Arabidopsis thaliana: one gene and its partners. The protein of the gene in region 3 purifies or fractionates together with the protein of the main gene of each other region. This does not show direct contact. Each region holds a gene or a part of one and is shown on either strand. Other genes may lie near its edges.

Evidence for each region.
Region 1: the proteins of AT4G09300 (region 3) and THO7 fractionate together in Arabidopsis thaliana (co-fractionation; one large-scale study listed by BioGRID). This does not show direct contact.
Region 2: the proteins of AT4G09300 (region 3) and TAFII21 fractionate together in Arabidopsis thaliana (co-fractionation; one large-scale study listed by BioGRID). This does not show direct contact.
Region 4: the proteins of AT4G09300 (region 3) and RanBPM fractionate together in Arabidopsis thaliana (co-fractionation; one large-scale study listed by BioGRID). This does not show direct contact.

Annotation. Positions count from the first base shown.
Region 1 is NC_003076.8:5,520,805-5,526,284, forward strand, and holds THO7 (Tho complex subunit 7/Mft1p), read right to left. Parts: upstream 3,208-5,480; 5' UTR 3,031-3,207; exon of another isoform or gene 2,703-3,030; 5' UTR 2,672-2,702; coding exon 2,075-2,671; intron 1,943-2,074; coding exon 1,838-1,942; 3' UTR 1,613-1,837; downstream 1-1,612. Other genes in the region: DOT2 (SART-1 family), read right to left, coding at 1-132, 212-762; AT5G16800 (Acyl-CoA N-acyltransferases (NAT) superfamily protein), read right to left, coding at 3,705-3,931, 4,032-4,235, 4,353-4,452, 5,095-5,239, 5,346-5,480.
Region 2 is NC_003070.9:20,213,399-20,218,741, forward strand, and holds TAFII21 (TATA binding protein associated factor 21kDa subunit), read right to left. Parts: upstream 1,868-5,343; 5' UTR 1,737-1,867; intron 1,488-1,736; 5' UTR 1,472-1,487; coding exon 1,211-1,471; intron 969-1,210; coding exon 678-968; 3' UTR 501-677; downstream 1-500. Other genes in the region: RSH3 (RELA/SPOT homolog 3), read left to right, coding at 52-363; SPL2 (E3 Ubiquitin ligase family protein), read left to right, coding at 2,082-2,453, 2,681-2,779, 2,868-3,029, 3,121-3,242, 3,425-3,544, 3,629-3,905; NF-YA5 (nuclear factor Y, subunit A5), read right to left, coding at 4,183-4,476, 4,591-4,764, 4,850-5,308.
Region 3 is NC_003075.7:5,896,308-5,902,135, forward strand, and holds AT4G09300 (LisH and RanBPM domains containing protein), read left to right. Parts: upstream 1-2,705; 5' UTR 2,706-2,753; coding exon 2,754-2,931; intron 2,932-3,321; exon of another isoform or gene 3,322-3,506; coding exon 3,507-3,613; intron 3,614-3,694; coding exon 3,695-3,814; intron 3,815-3,888; coding exon 3,889-4,045; intron 4,046-4,254; coding exon 4,255-4,382; 3' UTR 4,383-4,707; downstream 4,708-5,828.
Region 4 is NC_003070.9:13,049,795-13,057,579, reverse strand, and holds RanBPM (SPla/RYanodine receptor (SPRY) domain-containing protein), read left to right. Parts: upstream 1-2,486; 5' UTR 2,487-2,657; coding exon 2,658-3,049; intron 3,050-3,484; coding exon 3,485-3,631; intron 3,632-3,773; coding exon 3,774-3,860; intron 3,861-3,954; coding exon 3,955-4,000; intron 4,001-4,342; coding exon 4,343-4,419; intron 4,420-4,542; coding exon 4,543-4,705; intron 4,706-4,856; coding exon 4,857-4,925; intron 4,926-5,012; coding exon 5,013-5,072; intron 5,073-5,444; coding exon 5,445-5,531; intron 5,532-5,668; coding exon 5,669-5,944; 3' UTR 5,945-6,423; downstream 6,424-7,785.

The DNA of each region.
Region 1 (5,480 bases), on a different chromosome or scaffold from region 3:
TCAAAAATTCTCGAGAGCTGCTGTGCTCTTTGCTTCTCAGCATTTCGTTTTTCCTCAATCTTACGGCTCCTTGCAACCCATGATAGAGCATCAGAAGCATCTTCAGCTTTCTTCTTTCTTTCCTCTCTCATCCTAAGGAAGAAAACACAAACTTTTAATTCCTGTACTACCTATAATTCTAGATTTCATATAACATATGAGAATCACTTACTTCAAAATGCGATTCTGAAGGTCCAACGCAGATGCTTCTTTCCCACTTGATGCAGCATCAACATTATCGCCACCTTCATTCAGACCTCTGTTGTCAGAATGTTCATATCTTTCTGCAGCTTTATGAGTCTCGTCATCATCTTCATGACTTTTCTTACTCGCTCTCTCCTTGACTCTTGCCCTATCCTTGTCTTTTTCCTTCTCGTTATCCCTCTCATTTTCTCTATCTTTATGTCTATTTCTTTCCTTTTCCTTGTCCTTTTCTTTAACCCGATCTCTACTCTTATCTTTCTCCCTCTCTTTATCTCTACCTCTAGAGATCTCCTTCTCAGTGTCCTCATCTCTACTTCTTTTTCGGTCTCTCTCTTTCTCCTTATCCCTGCGGTGGTCCTTATCCCTGATCTTTTCTCGATCATAGTCCTTTTCTTTATCCTTGCTCCTATGATCCTTCTCTTTCCTCCTTCCATCTCTGTGTTCTCTAACAGGCGAACCCTCGTAGTCAGCCCTCTCTTCCCTGATTTCATGCCTTGATTTAGACTTCTCCACTTCCATTTTCAAGAACTTTAGTCAAGACCTAACCACAGAAAAAGGAGTTACTCAGTAACAACAATTACAATGGTAGCAAAACTACAGCCGAGCAAGATGAGAATAACAAAACTATTATATTGGCATTACTCTGACAAAGTACTTGCACACTTGATGACAATTTTCGGTTTCAAAACTAGTGACAAAACACAAAAACACAAAAACCCTAACCTAAGAAGGATTTCATTATTATTGGGGAAATAAGGTAAAATCAAATCCTGAATCTAGCTAGCTATAAACATATTCAGACTTTGGAGGATAAACGGAAAACGGAACAAGGTCAAGCGATTCGAAATTCATCGGAAAAAAGAAGAAGCAAACATCTGAAACGAAATATCAAAGAAAACAAAGGTTGATCAAATTCCGATTCGAATTACCTCTAGATCAAACCTTCAATGGAAAGTACTGAATATTCGGATCGACGAACAAAGAGCTCAGAATTGCAGGAGAAATTTCCGAGGGTTTAGAGATAAATTGCGAAAGCACACCGACGAATAGTAAGGTTTAGAAGATAAAGACCTAGCAACTGCGAAGAATTTAGAAAAGAATGCTTCAAACGAGAGAGATGACGACAAACAGCAAACCGCGGACGATCGCAAACTCGCCGTGGAAAGAGACGGAGAGACTCTCTGGTGGCGAAGAGAGGAGAACGATTTTGCAAAATAGAGAAGATATACGTGTACTGTATATATATTAGTCCGGTTTAAAAGCAAATTCTTTGGTACGGGAATAAATCTTAGTCGGTTGAATTTTCTGGACCGGTTATTTTCCTGATGAATCATTACCAAACTTGGTTTAGTCAAATAAATCACTTTCTCCTGACCTTTCCGGTTCACATAGTCCTCAAAACCTCGAGAAGATCTGCCATTATTTTTTTTGAATCTGCGAGTTAAAATGAAACATACATATCCTTATTTTCATAGCAATTTTGGTTATGAGGCAACCAGAAGAAACCAGAAATTTATAAAACAGATTCTTCTTATCAATGAAAGGTTTGTTTCTTTAGCATTCAAGAGGAAGACAAAGTTGCTAAGATTAGGAGCTAATCGATGGACATGGCTTCAGCGCCATCAGCGGTAATGTTCCTCTGCATTTCTTCCACCATACTCTTCTGTTCATCCTCCATTGTCTCCTGCAACTCATCCACCTATACATAAAAGTTTTCACAAAACCAAAAAGGTTAGGATTTAGCTGTAAACATAAAGAAACACGAGAAAGGCGAAATCTTGTTTAGAATCTTAGCTATAAAAACACAACGAAACCCGTAAAATCGACATACCACATGCAACAACAATGCAAACTGCTTCTTCCTTAGTTCAAGAAGTCTCCAACTTGCTGTATTCTCAGCCTCGAGTTCTGCAATCTCCTTCTTCAATTCATGTATAACCTTCTGCGTCTCTGACCTCGGTGGCTGCGCAGAGATAAGTTTCCTAATGGCTTCACACTCCTCTTTCTGTTGTCTCTCTATCTTACTCTCCTCAAGCTGTTTCTTAAGATCTTCTATATCAGCTTGTGCCTGCATTATCTGCCTATTCGTCTCATCTTTAAGCTCGTTAAAGTTCTCTTTCTCCCTAAGATTTGCAGCGACAACTACTTGGCTCTTAAGAAGCGGAATCTCAAACGCAGAGAGTTCTTGCAAGAAAGCTTTCGCGAGCCTACCACACTCACTGTAGTTATCTTCTTCTTTGTCTAGTTCAATAACAAAAGAAGTGAATTTCTTCTGAAGCTTCTTCAATGGAGGTTCGCCTCTGGTGGTGGTCGTGCGTGTGAGAAGCCTATTTCTTATAATTTTGTCATCATGTAACGGATCGAAAGCATAATTAGCTGCTACAGTCTCTGATCTACCCGAAACAATCCTCCTAGCTCTCACTGACATCTTAACTACTAGAGTCTAATATTATTCAAATCTGCAGAACAAACACAATTCATAATAAGCTAGGCTAGGCTTCGCATAATTCTGACAAAGCATTATCTTAAACCAAACAAATAAATCTATGTAAGCTAAAAACTGCTCAAAACAATGAGAACACACTAAGGTCCTTTTTGAATACTCATTCACGGGAATTCATAACATTCGAACTAGTAATTAAGCAAAAGTTTCATAGAATTCGATTTATTCTTCTCATCGTCAAAATCGTTATAGGACAACTTCTGTTTCTCAAATTTTCAGTGAACCGAAATTATAGTGAGATTGACCCAATAAATAATCGGCGAAAAAGAGAATATTTAACTTACTTGAACCGAACCGAACCCAATATCAATTCACCTCTTGTACGATTAAAAATCCGAAACAGAGAAATTATGATTCTCTGATGCACTGTGAACCCTAATTCTATGTTTCCGTTCCTTCTTCCCCTTTCCCTCGTTCTTCACAGTTTGCTCGTTAACTTTCATTTATTATATACCTAATCCCTATTGTTTTTTAAATTACAATTTAAGCATTCACAGTGGTGAACTGAAATTTGTTACTAACCCAGAAAATTGGTCTGGTTTGTTTTTTTTTTTTTAAATCTGTTTAAACATCTCTAGTTAATTCCATGTCATGTGAATTAGCCCCAATTAGAGCCAAAAGCTGTTCATGATCAGAATTGAAGAAGGATCTGGTTTCTCGAAAAAAGTATTGGGGTTTGTTTTTGTAATTTTAAGTAAATTATATGAGCTTATGCTAGTTTTCACGCCATAAAGCACAAAGCTAATTTTTTCAACAAGCTAACTAATTTAAGACAATAAGACTAACAGTGGATTGAACCCTCCGTCCCAAAGAGTTGTCTTCAACTATCACATCACAATATTTACATTTTTATCACATTATTATTCTACACGAACACACACAATAGGATCACAACCAGAGCTTAATGGAAGACATTAAAATGAATGATTTTACAAAGTCTATGAATGGGAGACGGACACTATACGTAATCATACCCGGATGATACTCTTTCCGATGCAAGGTTTCGTTTAGTCTGAGTGGGCAAGAGACACCGCGTGTTGTCTTTGCTTTTAAGCCATTTCGAGCCTTTCTCATCGTGGTTCACCGTCAGCTTTGATGCGAAAGATTTGATTCCGCTCCTCATATAATTCAGAACCAACACCGCAAGATCTCTGCAATGCAGCCATGATTCAGCGATAACCCCATCTATGAAGAAACCGCAAAGAAACATCACAGCAAACAGAATTTAGAATGCAAAAAATACTTGTGTTTTGTACATACAAGGGTGAGCAAGGAGAGCGAGAACCGTTGATAAAGTAGACGAACAAGTAAGAATCGAAATGCTGGCCGTTGATTAAGTAGAATCCGTGTAACCTCCTTACACATCTGAAAGACATTCTTTTGTACAACCGGATTGCGGGATTGTTGTGTGCAATCACGTGAAGGTAAACACCACGGCACACAGGGATACCAGAAGAGTATTTGACGACCTCGTTAATAAGTGCCTTAGCTGCACAAAAAAGTTGCAGAACTTAATATTAACAAAACCAAGCAATAGAAGAGAAGCATCAAGCCATCAACAAAATATCCATATCATTGGTTTACTACATGGGGTCAGAATCAATACCGATTCCACGTTTTCTGTATGTTTCTACAACTCCAAGTGTTAGGATGTACACCAATGTCCCCTCTCCCTTCGACGAGTCATATCTTATTAGATCTGATATCTGTACAAGACATAGAAAATCTATCAACATATTACCCAAGAAACAGCCATTGATGACTCTTAACATTAAACGAACAAGTACAAAACAAGTTTGGATCATAATCAAGATGTTAATAAAGTGGCTGGCTCTTTTTGATTTTCTAGAACTTTCGTAAGAAACCCATCTAATGTACATGGCTTTAAAATTCACGCTTAAACCATTAGACATTGTGAAATGGTTCAACAACATTCAAAATCTACACTTCACAATTACTTGTTACTTGCTGTATAAAGTTATTTCGAAATTTCAGAACCAAAACCCAAAAGGCGAAGAACAAAGAGAAGACAATGTTTTACTACTGAAGAAGCTCCAACCAAAACTTAAAAGCTTAGAAAAAGCTGTTGAAATTGTAGAAAGTTTATATTTTTAAGAAATTTTTAAGAAAATGTTTCAAACATTCAAAATTTTCACTTTACAAGACATTGCATCTTCTTTACAAAACCCAAAAACCATTCAAAACAAGCTTCAAAAATAACTTGAAACGTTACAAATTGAAGCTTTATTTTCTCCAGTGGAAAGAAACCCATTTCGGACATTTGAAATCTACACTTGAACAAGACGATGAAAAAGGAAGACACTTGAACAAAACACAAAGCAACTCACTTCGCTTTCTTTGGCAAGTACGATTTTGGCAGTAACAAATCCAATAAGTTCCTCAGAATGACCATCAGGGCGACTCCGATCAACAGCAGCCCAAGAGACAATATCACCTCCGTTGACAACATTCTGAAAAAACTCAGACTCATACCTGAACAAAATCAAATGCTTTGATAAGACACTTCCAAAAAACGGAAAGTCAAATCCCAAAACCAGATCACATATAAATTCTTTCCAAAACAAAGGTATTTATTTACCTGATTGGGAATATGTCACGATGGATTTGCTCCAAACGTTCTAAATCAGAAGGGTTTATTGGTCTGAAGCAAATAGTTGGACGACGAGCGATTTTGGGTTCCTCCATTGATGAATTCTCCACAAATCCACGGGGA
Region 2 (5,343 bases), on a different chromosome or scaffold from region 3:
TGAGGATGTTTCTTTGCTTGGAGTTATAATTTGATAAACCCGAAAATGCAGATGACTGTGCAAGAGTTTCCCGAGAATTCTACCGTGTCGGACCTGTTACGCAGAGCAGGACCAGGGAGCTCGAGATGGTCAATGTACAGCATCCCGGCAAAGGAAGAGCTAAGGCCAAGACTTAACCAGACACCTGTAAGTGATCTGAAATGCAAGCTGAAGATGGGAGATGTGGTGGAGCTGACTCCAGCCATACCTGACAAGTCTCTGACTGAATACAGAGAGGAAATTCAGCGGATGTATGATCGAGGGCTTGCGTTTTCACGGCCTCACCGTGCAGCTACTGGTACCATGGTTGGCTGGGGAAGCTAACTGATTCTCTTAATTACCTTTGTTCATGTATATATACTATAGTTGCATATATAGTATAATGCTTCAGAAGATTTGTTGTACCTTCGGTATTGTTGATTCCCACACAACAGTGTATATAAGATATGCCTATATGTTCTAAAAAACTGACTCTGGTCATTAATATTTGATTCTCTTACATTCTAAATCTTCAAACCACACATCTGGATCTGGTCCATAAAAACTGGCTCTGGTCATTAATTTTTGATTGTGTTACATTTCTACTTGTTGATACATAAATATTATAGATTTTTTGGTCTATCTACTTATTTGGGTACTTATTTGGGTCGTCTAGAGAGTGGGAAAGAGACCCTTTGAGGAGTTTGGCTTGGAAGGTCTGAGGTTTGTTGTTGCTGCTGTTGTTGTTCTTGAGAGGACTGTCCAGGATCTGTCATTTCTTCATCGTCCTCGGTTTCTTCAGGTTCTGTTGAAACCGACTTCTTCGGTATCACGAGCTGATAATTTGGGCTCAGCAATGTGTCCTGTTCAGGTGGGAGTGGAACACCGGGTCCTGCTATCGATTTTGGCAGAGGTATCTTGTTCCTACTTGCAGCAAGCTCAAGCAGAACCTAAATCAAACATCAAAAACAGAAACTTCAAGATTCAGGAACCAAAAGGCATGGATGTGACAGACAAAAACTTGAGGTTCTCAGTGATACAATTTATGAGGCAAGAGGGTCACACACAGTTCATAAGTCATAAGTAAGAGTGATAATTCCCTAATGATTCACATATACCAAATGACCGATCATATCGCATCTCTTCTCAGACAATGAAGAAGAAGAAACATGGAATCGTCAACAATGCATACCTCTCTTGGAGGAGGCTGTGAGAAGCTGAAATTAACTTTGGATTGAATAGCGAGCTTCACATCATCACAGTCAATGTTGGGTTTGCTAGCATGCTCTGAGTAAACCTGAGCATCTGTCAACACTTCGACCACATACCGGTACCATAACTCCAGAAACTGATGTATCACACGAGGCTCGTAGTCTTCTACACCCATCGACTTAAGCAGAGATTTCACAATCTTAGCATCTCTAGGTACATCTTCTTCACCTTCTCCTGCCATGTTTATCCCTAAACAACTAAAAAAAAAGTAAAGCTACAGAGTCAAATTAAGAACCTTTCTTATACAGAATTGATGTTGCAACAACACAAGTTTCAATCGAATCTCACAAGCAAACATCGTGTAACAGCAACACATTACATAAATCGAATAAATAAGAATTAGAGCTTCACGAATCGGAGATAAGAAAGACAAAGGAGATTCTAACCTAGCTTCATCAATAAGTTCCAAAACACAAGATTATATGCCATAAAGAGGCGATAAATACCTAATGCGAGAGAGAAAGTTTGGTGGAGAGCTAGTGGCAGAAACACGACGGAGAGATTGATGAACGGCGGCGAGGAATCGGGAAATACTAATCTCTGCCACTCTAGATCTGATATTTATGGTTTTGGTTTGTAAATCTGCTGTAACGTTGAGGGTGTAAATGTAATTTAACTAAAACGCTATTTATTACTAGTATTTTGTATTTCACTCGTGCATAGGCCCATTAAAGACCCAAATTAGAACGACGGTCGAATGTATAATATTAAATACCGATAATAGCCTCATTTCTCTTCCGTTTACTTGTCCGTGTGACCGTGTCTACGACGTTGAAATCGAAATTACCACAATGTCCTCGCCGGAGCGTGCTCTCTTGAATCTATTGACGGACATCGCTCTCTCCTTCGACGGCGCAATCCTCGGACTGACTTTAGCTGTTAGCGCCGTCGGTTCTGCTCTCAAGTATGCTTCTACCAACGCCGCGTTGAAGAAGATCAAAGATGCACCCGAAGTCTCCATTTCCGACCTCCGATCACTGCTTCCGGCTTCTGAAGACAAATCAGAGACTAACGATAACAGGAAGAGCAATGATCAGCGAATCGTTGTGGTTCGCGGAGTCGTCAAACCGAAAATTTCCGGTGATGAGGGTTACAAGAACAACAACGTGTTAATCTCTCCGGAGACTGGAGATAAAGCTCTTATCATTCAGAGAACGCAAACTGTACGTTGCTCTAAACCCTAAGTGTTTATGTTTCCCTCAAATTGCAATTGACATTGACCTAATTTTGCTTTGTGTTCTTATCAAAGGCTTAGGTTAAAGAGTTTGGATGATTTCTTCATGATTAGGTGTTCATTGTGATTGATTAAGTTAGGATTATGTAAGTTGGTACTGGTGTGATCTCAGAAGGGAAATGTATGTTTCTAATGTCATCATTTTGTTGTTGACAGTATGTGTATAGTGGATGGAAGAGATTGTTTCAGTCCACTGGTCACCGGTTTATGTTGGAGAGATCATTGCGCAAACACGGTGCTGATTTTACGAGAACGGTAAAGTCTCTCTATCAGCTTCAGAGCTTTCAACTTTGGCTCTGTATCCATGATCAAACTTGTTTTGTGTATCCTTTGCTTTGTGCAGGTCCCATTTGTCATTGTTGGAAAGGATCAGCAATCGAACTCTAGTTTTGTCGCTGTTAACATGGATGGCTCAAGGCAACCTCTTCCGCTTACCACTGTGTATAATCGCTTGCAGCCTATTAATTCTTCGTTTCTTCAAGCCTTTTTGTACCCCGATTATCCTGTGAGTATATATATATTCAAAGAAATTTCTGGTTTTGAGGAACTGATGGTTACTTGTTCTTGGCTAACTTTGTAATCCTTTCTCTTCCAAGGTTGGTCTGCTTGATATAGAGAAGATTTTACCACCTGGGAAAGATATAACAGCTGTTGGCATCTACAGTTTTAATAATGGAGTTCCTGAAATCAAATCGTGCCAAGATCTTCCTTATTTCTTGTGAGATTTTATCTGAATATTTTTCGTTCTTATATATCTGCCTGCGTTCTAGCTCAAATTATTACTTCATCTTCTTCTTTATGTTTTCTCAATCTGTTGATCATTTGACAAGATTTAGTCCATTGTTGCAGAAAGGCTCTATTTGCTGTTCATATATAAATCTTTATGAATAATCTTTGCAGATCAGAGATGACCAAGGACAAGATGATTGAGGACCTTATGGAACAGACCAACTTTATATTCTTGGGCAGCGTTATCTTGGGCATTGTGTCTGTTGGCATCCTTAGCTATGCTGCTGTCAGGTACTGGAGTTGTGAGAGATCAGATTTGGTTTTAGATTTGGGCAATGTTTCGATTTGAAATCTGTTTAACTGTCTTATCTTCAGGACCTGGAATAAATGGAAACAATGGAACCATCAGAGAGAACTGCCACAGAGACCGAACGATTCTGTGGTCGATGATGAACCCGAAGATGCAGATGAAATCCCAGATGGAGAATTGTGTGTGATCTGCGTGTCAAGAAGGAGAGTACCTGCGTTTATTCCCTGTGGACATGTAGTATGTTGCAGGCGATGTGCTTCAACCGTGGAACGAGAGTTAAACCCTAAGTGTCCAGTTTGTCTTCAGAGCATTAGGGGATCTATGCGTGTATATTACTCTTAGTGACCCTGAATCTTCTCTCATTGTATGTAATAGGGTAATGCAATTTGTACTCTCAGAGAATCGGAAGTTAACAAAATAGTTTGACAATGATTTGAAAGTTCGTCAAGTCACTCAATATAGAGTGAGAGATTGTAGAGGATATGAAAGCAAAGTTTTTAAAAGGAAGAAATTTTGTAACCGATAACATAAGTAGCCAAGGATGACTTCCCGTCATGTATCATCACCAGTCTCCGGAGTTTAGCCTGAGTTCTCTCGGAGCAAGGTCTTCTCATGTGCCTCAAGTCCCTGACATGAGAGCTGAGGCATGGTGTGTTGACGGATAACCTGAGAATCTGAACTGCGGGTTTTGGAACATGTTGATACAGTTTGAATTGGAGCTCGGTGAGATCGAACTAGACCCGATTCCGCTTCCACCACCGTGAGGGCTCATAGAGAAATTTTGTCCATTTGCCATTTGAGAAGAACACAGTGAGTTTGATGATTCTTGAAGCTTCTTTGTATTGAGGAAACGTCCACCGGAGCCTCTAGCTCTCTTTAAAGCATGAAGATGGCGAGACTCATGAAGGTACGGCTACAGAAAAAGAAAACAAAACTTTATTACATCAAATCATCAAGATCTTCTGAGTTAGTTTTCCCTCTTTCTCTTTGGTGTTTTAGGCAAAATGGAAAGTGAAAACAGTCATACTTTACGGCATTTGATGAGTTTGTTCTGAGCTTCGAGTTTAGCACGGTGCTTCCTGCGACGGAGAATCGCATGATACTGTTTCGCATTGACAAATATTGGTTCATTCTCTTGAATGTGATGAGGCAATGGCACTCTTGAAGAAACCAAACCCATCATCTCTAAATGTGGCAGCGCCTGCAAAAAGATTTCCCAATCAACCAATCAATGCGCCAGATCGATTCAGAATAGTAAAAGCACAAAAGGCTTCACAGCATATTACCGTTGGTGTTGATGCATATTCAGGAGCCAAGAAACCATTGAAATGTGACGTTTCAGCACATTGAAGAGACCAAGATATTTGACCAGAAGTAGGAGCAGGAAACACAGAGTCTTGAGACACCATCGACGAGGTAGTAATTGACTTAGTATAATTTTCAATAGGCTTTCCCAAGTTTTCGATGTAACCTGAGAGATTGTTATTAACAATGCTGCATCCATAACGCTTATATTCTCCAAAGCTTGCAACTTCACCGCCGCCTGATTCTTCTTCAGTAGATTGTGATGAGGTTGAATCTTGATTTTGCAGCTGCAAACCCGAATGTTTCATCGCGGGTAATTGTGTTGTAGACATTATCATATCCTTAGTCAAGCTGAAAGATTCAGATCCTTGAATATTTGAATTTGTTGTAGGCATTGAGTTTCCCCAAGATGAATCTTCTTTCCTTTGAAACACTTGCATTGTCTTCAAATCTTTACTTCAATAAACTAAATGTC
Region 3 (5,828 bases):
GCTTAAAACGACGTAGTTTTAATAACCTATATATAGACATACGGTTTGCGAAATCTATACACGTCTAAAAGTTATATTGTGAGTGACTTTTGAGATCGCAATTTTGACTGCATTTATTGTTGATATTGCATACGAATAAATATATATTGTGAACATTGCATTATGGGTTTCTTCATCTTCTTAGGAAATTAGGTATATTAGCAATCTGAAATCTCTCTTCACGTGAACTATTTTGTTTATCAGCACTGACAACATTATCTTTGGCCATCGTCAGCAATTTGTAGAGAAAGCAAGGGCTCATTCTCATCGTAATTCATCTATTCTTCATCGAGGAAAGCTTTGAGACGAGGTGTGGGATGGAGGAATTGAGCGTGTTCAGACTTGGATTTGATCCGATTGTAACCGCTCGCGCTGTTTGTCTAGTTTTACGATTACGATTCTGAATAATCAAGTTGTTAGATCTCACAATGTTATTGTTATTTTCATACCGGTACTATATTGTAAGTGTATTTTCATACCAAACAAATTTGTAAGATATTTTCATATCTAAAATGCATCTTTATTTGAATTTTATACCCAAATTTAAGAAAACGCGTAAAATTCAGAGTCAAATTAACAGAAGTTAGTCAACACCGTGAAGATTTTGAGTCAGCGCACACACTGTGATAATGACGTGTTTAAAACGACGTCGTTTTGCAGTGTTGGAATGTAAAATTTTCAAATTTTTGCAAAATACGGTTTCGAACCCGTGTCCTCTTTGTCTATAGAGAGGGTGTTAAACCATCTCATCCCACAAACTTCATTGATTATACACCAAACGTTTTAATATATAAAGGTAACGATTTTTCTTTAAAATGAAGTGTCTAGCCATTTTATCTAACACAACTTTATCGGTTAGATGCCAAACATTTTAGTATATAAAGGTAACAGTTTTGTGATTTTAAATTAAGGTAAAACCCTCTGTTTATACCAGCAATGTAATACCCCTGAAGATGACTAGCAATCGGACTGAAGGTCGCGAACGTAGAAGTGTGACCGTGACTTTCAAAATCTTTCGTAAAGAAAAATTTGATGGAATAATGGGTAAACTAGCACTACCTAAAGTGATCATAGATCAAAGGAGGCTAATCAAAAGAGTTATAGAGCAATCACGAGTGAGTTCAGATTTATTGGCTATCGCTAAGAGTCATGAAGCTTCTGTTAGTGTACCAGATGCATCAGATGTAGGAGTTAATTCTAAGTTCAGAAGTGTTGTTGAGAACACCAGGAAGCTTCTGTTAGTGTAAAAATATATTTTTGAATATATGTTGTATGACTCGATTTGGGCATTAGGCCTGGCTAGCCGAACACAAATGTATTTTGAAGTATTTTAAGATTAATAAAATGAGTTTTCTTAAAAGCCTTGTATATCTCTGATATTAGTCTTGTCCGGACTAACACAACTTGCGAATGTGGTACGGGTTGAAAAGCCTTAGGCCATGTTCGAGAGGAACGATGTTCGCAGATGGACTGACCTTGGTACTGGAGGTGTTCTGGGAACTCAGTCGGATTGTCTACGAGCGTCTTAGGTAACGCTTCCGGATTCGTTCTTAGTTTTAGAACGGTTCGGGGTGTTACAGTCGGTCCATATAAATCTCTAACTAAATTGTTAATGAAAATCACCTTTAAGTATAAATATTAAGAAAAAAGGCTCCTTCATTAATAATTACGCTTAAATATATCTCGTTTAATAGATATATTGTGTTAATGCTTATTAAAAATGTTTAAAACTTATATTCTTAAAAATTGCTAATGTCGATTTAAAAATTCCAAGATAGTGTAATCGTCATCCATTATCGTGCTTATATTTTATTTCAAATTCATTTAGTTACTAAAACTATACATGTTGATTTTTATTGTTATACGTAATATATGATGCGATATCTTAATTATATTGGTTTATCATTTCAGTTTTGCAATTTATTGTACCATGTTTTTAATGCTAATTTAAAGCAAACATGACATTCTCTTATATCTTAAAAAAAATATACATATCATCTTTTAATAAATCAAAATACAATAATATTTATTTGATAACAGACGTTTAGGATTCTGACGATACTATAGACGAATGAGTTTTCTGGTTAAGAGATGGAGGGATGTAAAATAGAACTATAAATATTTGTGTGTTTGTTTTGTTAATAGTTTAAAGATTTTAAATAAACTGATTAATATTTAAGGGTTTTTGTCACTAAAATTTCTTAGTTAATAGTATTATTTATTATTAATATAATTAATGGTTTTAAAATGGATATGTAGAGGTTTTTTTTTCATTAAAATCCTTTTCCATAATTACAAAACCTATAAATTGAGATTCGGGGAAAATAATATCTAAACCAATTGAACAGTCTCGGTTAATTAACGGTTCGATTGAAACCGGTTTTAATAAAGAAGGGGGAAGATTGAGATTTTTGGTAGCCAAAACAAAAGAATTTAGAAAGAAGCCATTTCGCTCCAAAGTCTCCAGAATTTTCCTTCTCATTCCCGGAAAATTTCTACAGGTATTTTCTGGGGAAAACGAAAATTACGTCAAATCTTCCGTAAACATTACGCTATTGCATCGCGCATCCGGATTTTGAACTTTGACTAAAGATCTTAATTCTAATTTCTTGTTCAGTTCCTTGGATTTGCTCGATTTCGGAAGAGAACGAAGAAGATAGTATGGTAATATCTTCATTCAACTTCAGCGATCTTGTTCTTAGTATCCTGATTGGATGAATTTGTTACTTCAGGAAACTCCGAAGATCGTAGTAACGAGTGAAGATTGGGAATCGAAGCTAAGTGATGTGGAAATTTTGATAGAAGACATGAACAGACTCGTGATGAATCTTCTTGTGGCTGAAGGATATAGAGAAGCTGCTGAGAAATTCAAAGAGGAGTCTATAACTATGCGTATCCTCTCTGATGATGATTCATGTTTAAACTTGTGAAAGAAATTTCTTTGATTCTTTCTTGTTCTGATGATGGTGATGATGATGCTTGTGAAAGTCTGGAAGAAATTTCTCAGATTCGTTCTTTTATGGTGATGATGATGCTTGTGAAAGTCTGAAAGTAATTTCTCAGATTCTTTCTCTTATGATGATGATGTGATTCGTGTTTAAATTATATGATGATGCTTGTGAGAGTGTGAATGAAATTTCTCAGATTATTTCTCTGATGATGATTCGTGTTTAAACTAGTGAAAGGAATTTATTAGATTCGTTCTCTTCTGATTCGGATGATGATTCATGTTTAAACTTGTGATTTGTGTAAGAACTTTCTCAGATTCGTTCTCTTCTGATGATGATGATTCTTGTTTAAACTTGTAAAAGAACTTTTGTTAGATTCTTTCTCTTCTGATGATGATGCTGCTTTAAAAGTGTGGAAGACATTTCTCAGATTCGTTCTCTTCTGATGGTGATGATTCAAGTTTAAACTTGTGAAATAACTTTCTGCTTTCAGTTCTTTTTTCCTTTAACCAGAAACAGCAGAGGAAGATCTTGCTAGCATGAATGAGCGATTGGAGGTGATAAAAGCTATCGAATCCCGAAATCTCGAGGATGCAATTGAGAAGTTGAATGCACTAAACCCTGAGGTATATGGAGTTTCCTAAGTGCTTAAGAGAAGAAATAGTTGGATATCTCATTACTTGTTTTTTGGTTTTTGGTGTTTGTAGATTATCAAAACAAGTTTTCACCTCCACCAGCAAATGTTGATCGAGTTGATCCGTGAGAAGAAGACCGAGGAGGCTGTTGCGTTTGCACAGGAAAAACTCGCGCCACTAGCTGAGGAGAATGTGAGTCTTTAGCAGATTCATCTTATAATAGGAGATTGGAACTGGTCATAAACAAATTCTGCAATCTTATGCAGGAGGCCTTACAAAGAGAACTGGAAAAAACAGTGTGTATACTCGTTACTGAAGGTCTCCCTAACTGCCCGTCCAGGGAGCTTTTCCACAACTCGCAGTGGATTAGGACTGCTAGCCACGTAAACGAAGCAATCCATACAAGCCAGACTGGAGAAAAAGGTATATGGCTATACTTTTTACTGACACAGAAAGTGAAAAATAATGAGCTTATCTACCAAAAAACAGAACCAGTTGTTTATGATGGCCAAAAGTGTCATAATTACAGTCCCTAGTTGCTCTCATGTGTCTTTCAGATTTCCAGCTCTTGAAACTTTGTCAATGTACCAAGTGAGATGATGATGATGTTATGTTTTGTGAATTGTCAACAGGTCCTGAATTGGAGCGCTTGTTGAAGGAGCTGATTTGGACTCAGAATCAACTGGATGAAAAAACAGTCTATGTGTATCCACGCATGAATGATTTTTCCACTGGCCAGCTCATATACCGACCAGAATGATTCTTCTTCCCTTTCAACAACTAACGGCTCTGCAAAAGGGAACATATATAGTGATATATAACTGATCTGTCGCAAGAACATGATGACCATTTCTTCCTAGTGAGTATTTTGAGTGAGGGGGGAGTTTTTAGCCTTGCTCTTATGATTTAGGGATTTTCTTATTCATGACAATATTGGACCCCTAGGTAGTACTAATAACAAGAGAGGGTTTTTGTTTTCAAATGTTGGTTTACTGGTTAGGCTTTTATTCTCCACCATGGTATGGTTCCTATAAAGCTACATAAGAATTCATTTTGAAGTTTGTTTGGTGTGTGACCGAAGAACCAAAAAAAAAAAAACAGTTGCTCATTCTTTGTCTACTTATCTCACTATTCGGCAATGCATATACGTCCTAATCTTTGTTTTGCTTATCTTAGTTATTCTATCTCTCTCCCTTACCTAAAAAGCTGGCTTCAAAGGACTTGACGGATCGTTTATAAAACAGACTAGTCATAAACATAGATTTATATTCGAGATGGCTTCAAATACGAATCTTAAACTGTTTATAGTATATATAGTATCTAATAGCTGCGGGTGTTGTGAAAGGGAACTTAGTGTTGACCATGGTCATGGAGTTTAACCAAGAAGTTTGTTGAACCAAGGATTCACACAATAGATTTGTTTAGAGAGGGAAAACAAATCTAGTAATTTCTCTTCATTAGGTATTCTATCCAAGACTCGATTACAAGAGGGGTTCTAATCTCTTATGAAATACATTAGGGTTTTGCTCAAGAACAGAAAAAGAATTAAAGTTTTAAAAAGGTATAGCTGCATCCATGATGGATTGCCTACGTACCCTGTGAAGGGATCAAGCCATTCGTAGTTCTCAATAGGTATAAAGTTCTATGTTTCTTGTGAATATCCCAAGATCTCCCCCTTTTTGTGAAGTCCCTAAGGCACTTTATATAGGATCCTTAAACCGCCTCCCTAGCGATATTCTTCGGAAGATTCTTATTTATCCTTAGGTCGGTTCTAGAGGATAATCGTCCTAAGGATATTCTCCTTATTCTTCGGAGGTTTTGGGGAGATTTCCTGATTTCGACATTATCTTCAAAGATTCTCCTTTATCATTTCTGAAAGTCCCATAAAAGATCCCATTTTACCGGAAATGATCCTTGGAGAATGAATGGTTTTTACAAGTCTTTGCCTCGCGTGTTCTTCACGGCTCGGTGGTCGTTTGAGAGGTGGCTTCGGGGCAAACGGTATGTACCGGCTCGGGGCGCGCTTGATGACTGTCCATTAAGCTCAGTTGGCTGTCTCCCGAGCCGATATAGATGTGTCCCGCAGCGTTCTCACGATTGGCTCGGGCTGTGTTCATATGATTAACACCCGAGCCATTTTACAAACTCTCTTCGGGACGGTCGATCGAATAAGGTCCCGAGGTGCTTTGTTCTAGGCTAGGGGCCA
Region 4 (7,785 bases), on a different chromosome or scaffold from region 3:
TAAAAACGATTATAAACCATGCAAACCCTTTTTAAAATCCCTTGTAATTCATTCTTTGACACTTACTTGTGTTTTAAAAACGATTGTAAATCATGTTAACCACTTTTAAAATTCCTTGTAAATCATTCAATGCCACTTACTTACTTTTAAAATTCCTTGTAAATCATTCAATGCCACTTTTAAAATTCCTTGTTTGGCGAAATTTTTTTTTTGGCGGGAAAAATAAATTTTGGCGCCAAAAATTCGACGGGAAACTTTCAGTTTCCAATTACATGTGCTTATTAGATAAGGGTAATTTGGTCATTCTGTTCAAGGAAAGGGATATTTTTAAAAATGAACAATATAAAAGGGTACTGTTGCAAAAGGATAGTAAAAAATGGTAGTTTTGTAAATCTCCCTAAAATATATGCAAACCATTTTCACTATATTTTACATTCAATAATTTAGAATACAATTTTCATATATTTTGAACTAAACTTGATTTGCAAGAATTTTTCATATCTTGAAGATTTAAAATTGACTCCTAAACCTAACAATCTCTACAATATATTTAAGATTTTAAAAAATTTAGCAGCACTTCAATGTGCACACTATTTTATATGTATGTCTGCTATTGTTTTAACTCATTCAGTATTTGATTCATTTTCTTTCTTTATAAAAAAACAAGAACATAGAGTATAGATCCAAAATAGATTACAAAAACATAGAGTATGATCCAACGGATTTTAACATTGGGTGGATTAGCGTAGGATTATCGAATTTACTGATCCAATTGCGGAATTATATTGGAGTATGACACAATAAATTAAATACAGAAAATTACAAAATAAATTTTATTAAATAGAAAATATTATGATTATGATTTATGATGTAAACTATCAAACCAAAATTGCCACAAATATTTCCTCACGCTGCACATCGTGGATCCTTATCTAGTTTACCTTTAGATTTTCAAACCTCTAAAATTGAAATAATGTTTGATAATTTTCAATAATGCAAAAAAAGAATGAAGAAGAAATTCAATCAAAACAAAAGACAAACATATCACATATAAACTTCATTGTTCTGATGCTTCTTTGATTTAGCAATTTTGGGGAAAAATAAGTTCGAATGCAAAAATAAAGTTTGTAATTATTCAACAAAAAATTCGGGCATACCAATTTTTTTTCTTTCTTTTAATCGTTTGAATGCAATTTTTTTGTTCGGAATATGAACATGGCATGTAGAAAGATGAAATGCTTGCTAGAGCGTTGAAGTTTAGAGAAGCGTTTGTTAGCATGAAAGCTTTTGATACCAATGATAAATTTTTGATCTATTGAAACCTTTTAGTGTTATTATCACTTACTTTTTAGGCTCTAAGTATCCCACATCCAATGTATACTTTACACAAATATGGAGGATTGAGTTGTTGCTGAAGAAGTATGCTATTTGTGATGATGATGTTGTTGAGCAAGTGGCTCAAGAGATGCATGGTAAATTTTCCGAGTATTGGGAAGATTATAGTCTCATTTTGGCTATGAGAGCAGTTTTGGATCCGAAGCTTAAATTGAAGATGCTTGAAGTAGCTTAAAAGAAAGTAAATTCTACTACTTATAAGTTAAAAATTAAAGGGCTCGAGAAGAATTTGATGATATTGTATAAAGTTGGAACTTGGTGAATTAACTTAATGTGAGTTTTTGTAACATAAGATCTATTTGAACTAGAAAGAAGTATTGAAGACGGTGTGAACAACACAAAGACACACTTGGATATTTATTTGGATGAGAGTGAAAGTCTTTTTCGAAATTTGGATGTCTTAAGCTATTGGAAAGATAATCAGAATCGATTTGGCGGTTTAGCTTCTATGACATGCGATGTCCTTAGCATTCCTATTACTAAAGTAGCATCAAACTCAGCTTTTAGCATTGGATCGAGGGTTTTGACTCCATATAGAAATCGCTTGCTTCCAGAAAATGTTCATGTTTGCTTTGTACTCGCAATTGGCTACGCAAGTTTGTTGACTATGAAGGTAAGAGTTTTAAATTGAAAGCTTTATAGGTAATTGAATTATATTAATTAAATTTCATTGTAAATTGTAGGTACCACAGAAGATACCAATGAGTTTAACCATGGAGATACTCGAAAGACTACAAGTAGTTCGAGAGTAGAAGGTTCAAGATCGGAAAAATCAAGTGTGCCATGAAACTTTTGTTTTTTCTCTTTTGTTTTTGAAATATTTTTTATTTTAAGTTTTGTTTTGGTAATAAAACCACTTTTGATATTAAAAGTCTTTATGAATCACATTTGATAAAAACATGGATTTGATTTTACATTTTAAAAGTGTGTATGAATTAAATTTGATAAAACATGGATTAATTTTACATTTTATAAAAAAGTTTGTGTTTTTTTATGAATTGAAACAGCCAACTAATTGGTATATAACTAAATATTATTTATGAAATTTATATAGAGAAATATATATAAGAAAAAAATAAGTCTAACAAATACCGAAACTAGCGGGTCACAAAAATAAACAACGGATCAAAAAATAAATCAAAGAGAAGAAGAAATCTCAACAAATTCTCTAATTCAGTGTTCTTCTTCTTATAGACTCCAAAAACCTCTGAAGAGCCTAATCTCAAAATTTCTAGGGTTTTCTCTAATCGGAACCAAAACCAATGAACTCTTCACCACCACCGGCGAATTCCGCCAACGGCGATACAACCAACAACGGCGAGAACGGTCAAGATCTGAACTTAAACTTCTTAGACAAGATTCGTCTCTCCGCTAAACGAGATGCGAAGGAAGACGAAGGAGAAGAATTACCGACGGAGTTGAATACGATCAATAGCGCCGGCGGATTTCTTGTGGTTTCTCCTGATAAGCTTTCCGTGAAGTACACGAATACGAATCTACATGGTCACGATGTTGGTGTTGTTCAAGCTAATAAACCTGCTCCGATCAAGTGTCTTACTTACTACTTTGAGATTTTTGTTAAAGATTCTGGTATTAAAGGACAAATTGCTATTGGTTTTACTAAGGAAAGCTTCAAAATGCGTAGACAACCTGGGTATTGTTTTCTTTATCTTTGGATTTTGGATCCAATCTTTGTTGATCATTGTGTGTTGAAGTTGTTTAGGGAAGAATCTGAATTTGAAGGATTTAGTTCAAGAAGTATAGTTTTAGCTTGTAGCTTGATCATTGTTGTGTTTAAGGTATGGTTTATTTTAGAAATTGAGGTTTGTGGTATGGTTTTGGGATCCAAGTTGTGGTTTAGTTATTATAGAGATTTAGCTTCTTGGATTAGGTTGTGTGTGTTCTTTCTGGTGAGTTCAGTTGTGTAGAAGTGGTTTAGGGAAGAATCTGAAATTCGAAGGACATTGCTTTGTGGTTTATTTGAAAGCTAGGTTCTTGAGTTTACAAATATGGATGATAGTGCCTTTGAAAGAAGCTTTATCTGCCTAATACTTGAATTTGAGGTTATAGTTTTCTTTTGTAATGGTAGATGGGAAGTGAACAGCTGTGGATATCATGGGGATGATGGATACCTATATCGTGGACAGGGAAAAGGTGAACCTTTTGGTCCAAAGTTTACAAAAGATGATGCAGTTGGCGGTGGTATAAACTACGCTTCTCAGGAGTTCTTTTTCACGTAAGAAAGAAACTGTTTCATGTTTTTTGGTACTTAAATAAGTTCATTACTACTGTGAGTTGAATTCATGATTCATTCATTTTCCTGTTACTCTTTGTCTGTTAAAGCTGATGACATTTTTGATTATTTTTGTTGGTGCCAGTAAAAACGGAACTATTGTTGGGAAAATCCCCAAGGACATAAGAGGTCATCTATTCCCTACTGTAGCTGTACATAGCCAAAATGAGGAGTATGTTCTCACTCTCTCTTTAAAGATCAATACCATTGCCATCATGTATCTCACTCTCTCTTACACAAAGCATATTTTTCTGAAATTTTGGCAGGGTATTAGTCAATTTTGGGAAGAAGAAATTTGCTTTCGATATTAAGGTAAGAGGAAAAATCCTTTCAAACGTGGTTAATTAGGTCTCATAGCTTTATACTAAAGTAAGGATGGTGTAACCAGGACTACTGCTATTGAAATCACATAATAGGTATGCCTCATGTCCGTTCTTGGTACTGGGGTTACCGAATCTATAGCAGTGGTTCTCTTTGTAGACATTGCTCTCACATTTGCTATTTTACTGTTCCTGTGTAATCAAACCTCAAACTCTTGGGCACTCAAGTTATAATCTTTAAACACTGAAGTAGGGCATAAAAATTCTTTCCATTACATATATGTTTGAAATTAAGTAATTGACGAGGGCTGTTTCCCTCTTTCTGTATTATTAGGGATATGAAGCATCAGAGAGGAATAAGCAACAATTGGCTATTGAAAAAATATCCATACCTCCAAACATTGGTTATGGGTGAGTACACTCCTTCCCAGCAGTAACAGATCATGTACTTTTTTAACTTTGAATTGCAATACTTGGTTTCCCTTCTGGACTAGCTTTCTGCTTTATCTATAATTTTGTTTTCTTTATCATTAGGCTTGTCAAGACCTACCTGCTACACTATGGGTATGAGGAGACACTCGATGCTTTCAACCTTGCTACTAAAAATACAGTTCCTCCAATTCATATAGATCAAGAAAATGCTATTGACGAGGATGATTCATCCTATGCTTTGAAACAGAGAAAGAATCTTAGACAGGTATTGAACTTGCTACGGTTTAACATATAAGACATGTTATCTTCTAACTTTATTAGGCTTGTATCTGGCTTTTTTTGGTTCCTATTCAAACCCATACTAAATTACTGCTTCGTTAGTGAATTTGGACTGATTCATTCTTTATTGGGTGTAGCTTGTTAGGAATGGTGAGATTGATACTGCTTTGGCGGAACTCCAAAAGTTGTATCCCCAAATTGTACAGGTGAACTGAGATTTCTTATCATATTGTTGAGATGATCCACTTCACAGGATTGTGATACGAAGTCTTACCCGGCTGTACCTACTGCAGGACGATAAATCTGTAGTTTGCTTCCTCCTTCACTGTCAAAAGTTTATTGAATTAGTACGGGTATGCTCTTCATTCCTTAACCATCTAAATTTCGTGTTCTTAATACTTGTCAGAAATATTCTCTCTCTGTGCATATAAGAATAAAATTTTTGTAATTAAGGAAGCTTTTGATGGATTTGGTGTCTCATACAAAAATTAGCTGCTTGAACTGTGTGATGGACTTTGGTGTTAAACCATAAACTAGTGAAAAAATGCACAGAACCTATAACACACTGGAAACCATGTTACATAGATGCATGGAACCTTGTCACCGTGTATAAATATCACCTTAAGTTAGTTCTCTGGATTATTCCTTCTTTGTTCACTTTCACATCTATGCAGATGGGGCTATTTCTCTAACTATATGGTTTTGGAAAAACATGGCATAAACAGGTTGGAAAACTTGAAGAAGGTGTGAACTATGGCAGACTCGAGTTAGCTAAATTTGTTGGGTTAACTGGATTTCAAGATATAGTCGAGGTACCAATGTCTCCTTTACTCCTTTTTCTTTCAAGCAAGATCTGGTTTCTGAGAATATGTATGTATTGCGTTCAGATACAGAGACTATATATGTTGCTGCTTCGCTTAGGAACTCTATTTTCTTGTTGATTATTCAGGACTGCTTTGCTTTGCTCGCGTATGAAAAGCCTGAGGAATCATCGGTCTGGTATTTCCTAGAAGACTCACAGAGGGAATTAGTGGCTGATGCGGTGAATGCAGCAATACTATCAACAAATCCAAATAAGAAAGATGTGCAGAGAAGCTGTCACTTGCAATCCCATCTAGAGAAACTGCTAAGACAGTTAACCGTGTGCTGTTTAGAAAGGCGGTCACTGAATGGAGACCAAGGTGAAACATTCCGGCTTCGACATGTTCTTAACAACAACAGATAAAGAAGATGAAAATGGCTTAGCCGCGCATATATTTTGAAAACTCTGTTTTTCTATGGTCGTTATCATCATAAGTGGCTTTTGTTCATTACTTGTGTGATATTATGTTGAACTTTCCATTATGTAAAGGAGAAAGTTAGAAAAATGGGTTCGACGTTAAGACACTGGGACTTCCACTGTTATTGGTTCTTTAAAGTTTAGATGATTCAAATTAAGATTTTCAACATTCAAATCAGAAATGGAAAAACTGAATTAGCGGTGGGGGTGTTCGGGTTTAGCGGTATCTTTCGGGTTTTGTAACTTTTGTTCGCTTGGGGTTACCTGAAATTATTCTCAAAAAGAGATTTTATGGTAAACAGAAATTTTTATGAAGAGAATCTTTAATTTTTTATTTTCTTTTCATAATTTCATGTGACGATGTATAAATGTTATGATGGTAAATAAATATTATTGTAAATTATAATCAGTTTTAAACAATCGAGAAAAAACAAATTCTTGTTTAAAATGTAAATTTAATAATTATAATTACAATTTTCACATTTTCAAAATAATAGTAAATATGAAATTTGACCTATCCAATAAAAGCCCAATAACTAATGTAAATAGAGTCTATATTGATCATATTTAGCTTCATCCAATGCTTTTGTGATTAAAAACCCACGTGAAAAAAGGCAATGAGTCCCACATCGGATGCGAAAGCAAGAAAAAATGAAAGTTTGGCTATAAATAGTTAAACATACCGAGTGTTGAACATATATATTTTTCTCATGCTTTGGTTGAAGGTGGCAATAACCTCAAATATATCAGAGGGTGTAGATACTCAACGACTATAGGAGGCAATAACTTGAGCAAACAATTGATTGCAGAAATCCATCGACTAAAGCTGTCACCTGTTTGATTCCAGCTTTTGTCTCCTTACCTGTTGAGTGTCTAAACTCTCTGGTACGTTCATAGTTGTTGCTGCCTTTCGCTTTTTTTTTTACTACACGCAATTGTTTGAAAGAAATATTTCATGTGAATTTTAGATTATTTATTTATGTTCTGTCTCTTACTTTTTATAAAAATTCTAAACAAACAAGGAGTAGAGTTTTGGGGGTTTGGAAAATTTACTACGACTTTAATCTTGTTGGAAACTACAAAATTTTGTTGTTTGCACTCCTCTTATGTCCATAATATTTTTTTATATTACCTTTTAAATCATCCATATTTTCCTAAATCATTTTCCAGAAGAAAAATAATTAGCTTCATACCTTCATCCAATGCTTTTGTGATTCAAAAATCCATGTGAATGAAAGCAACTTATCCCACATTGGTTGTAAAAGCAACAAGGGACTAAAAGTTTTGTTATAAATAGTTGGACATGCTAAGTGTTAAACATATAGTTATGCCCATTCCTAGGCCAAAGGCATGAACATCCTCGAAAAAACGAGAGAGTATAGACGCTTATCGGCTGAAGGAGGCGATAGCTTCTTTTCTGCCTCAGTATTTGTTTTTGTATTATATTTTTATAGGTTTTGCGCAAAAAGCCCTCAAAGTCATCTATTTATGCAACATTATCCTCAACGTTCAAAAAATGCAAAGTAATCCTATAAAGTTAAAAATAATACGCAATATAACTCATTTTTGTAACTTTACATATATTGTAAATGTTTTCACTATCACATACATTTGTTTTTAAATAATTAAAGATATAGTTGAACTCGTCATCTCCAGAGCTTCGATTTGATATATTAACATGTCAATGCTCGATATACTCAATTTGGACCAACCAAAATCATTGGCTCCATCATCAAATGTTTCGATCGACATATATGATTATTTACCTAATTGATACGACCATTTAT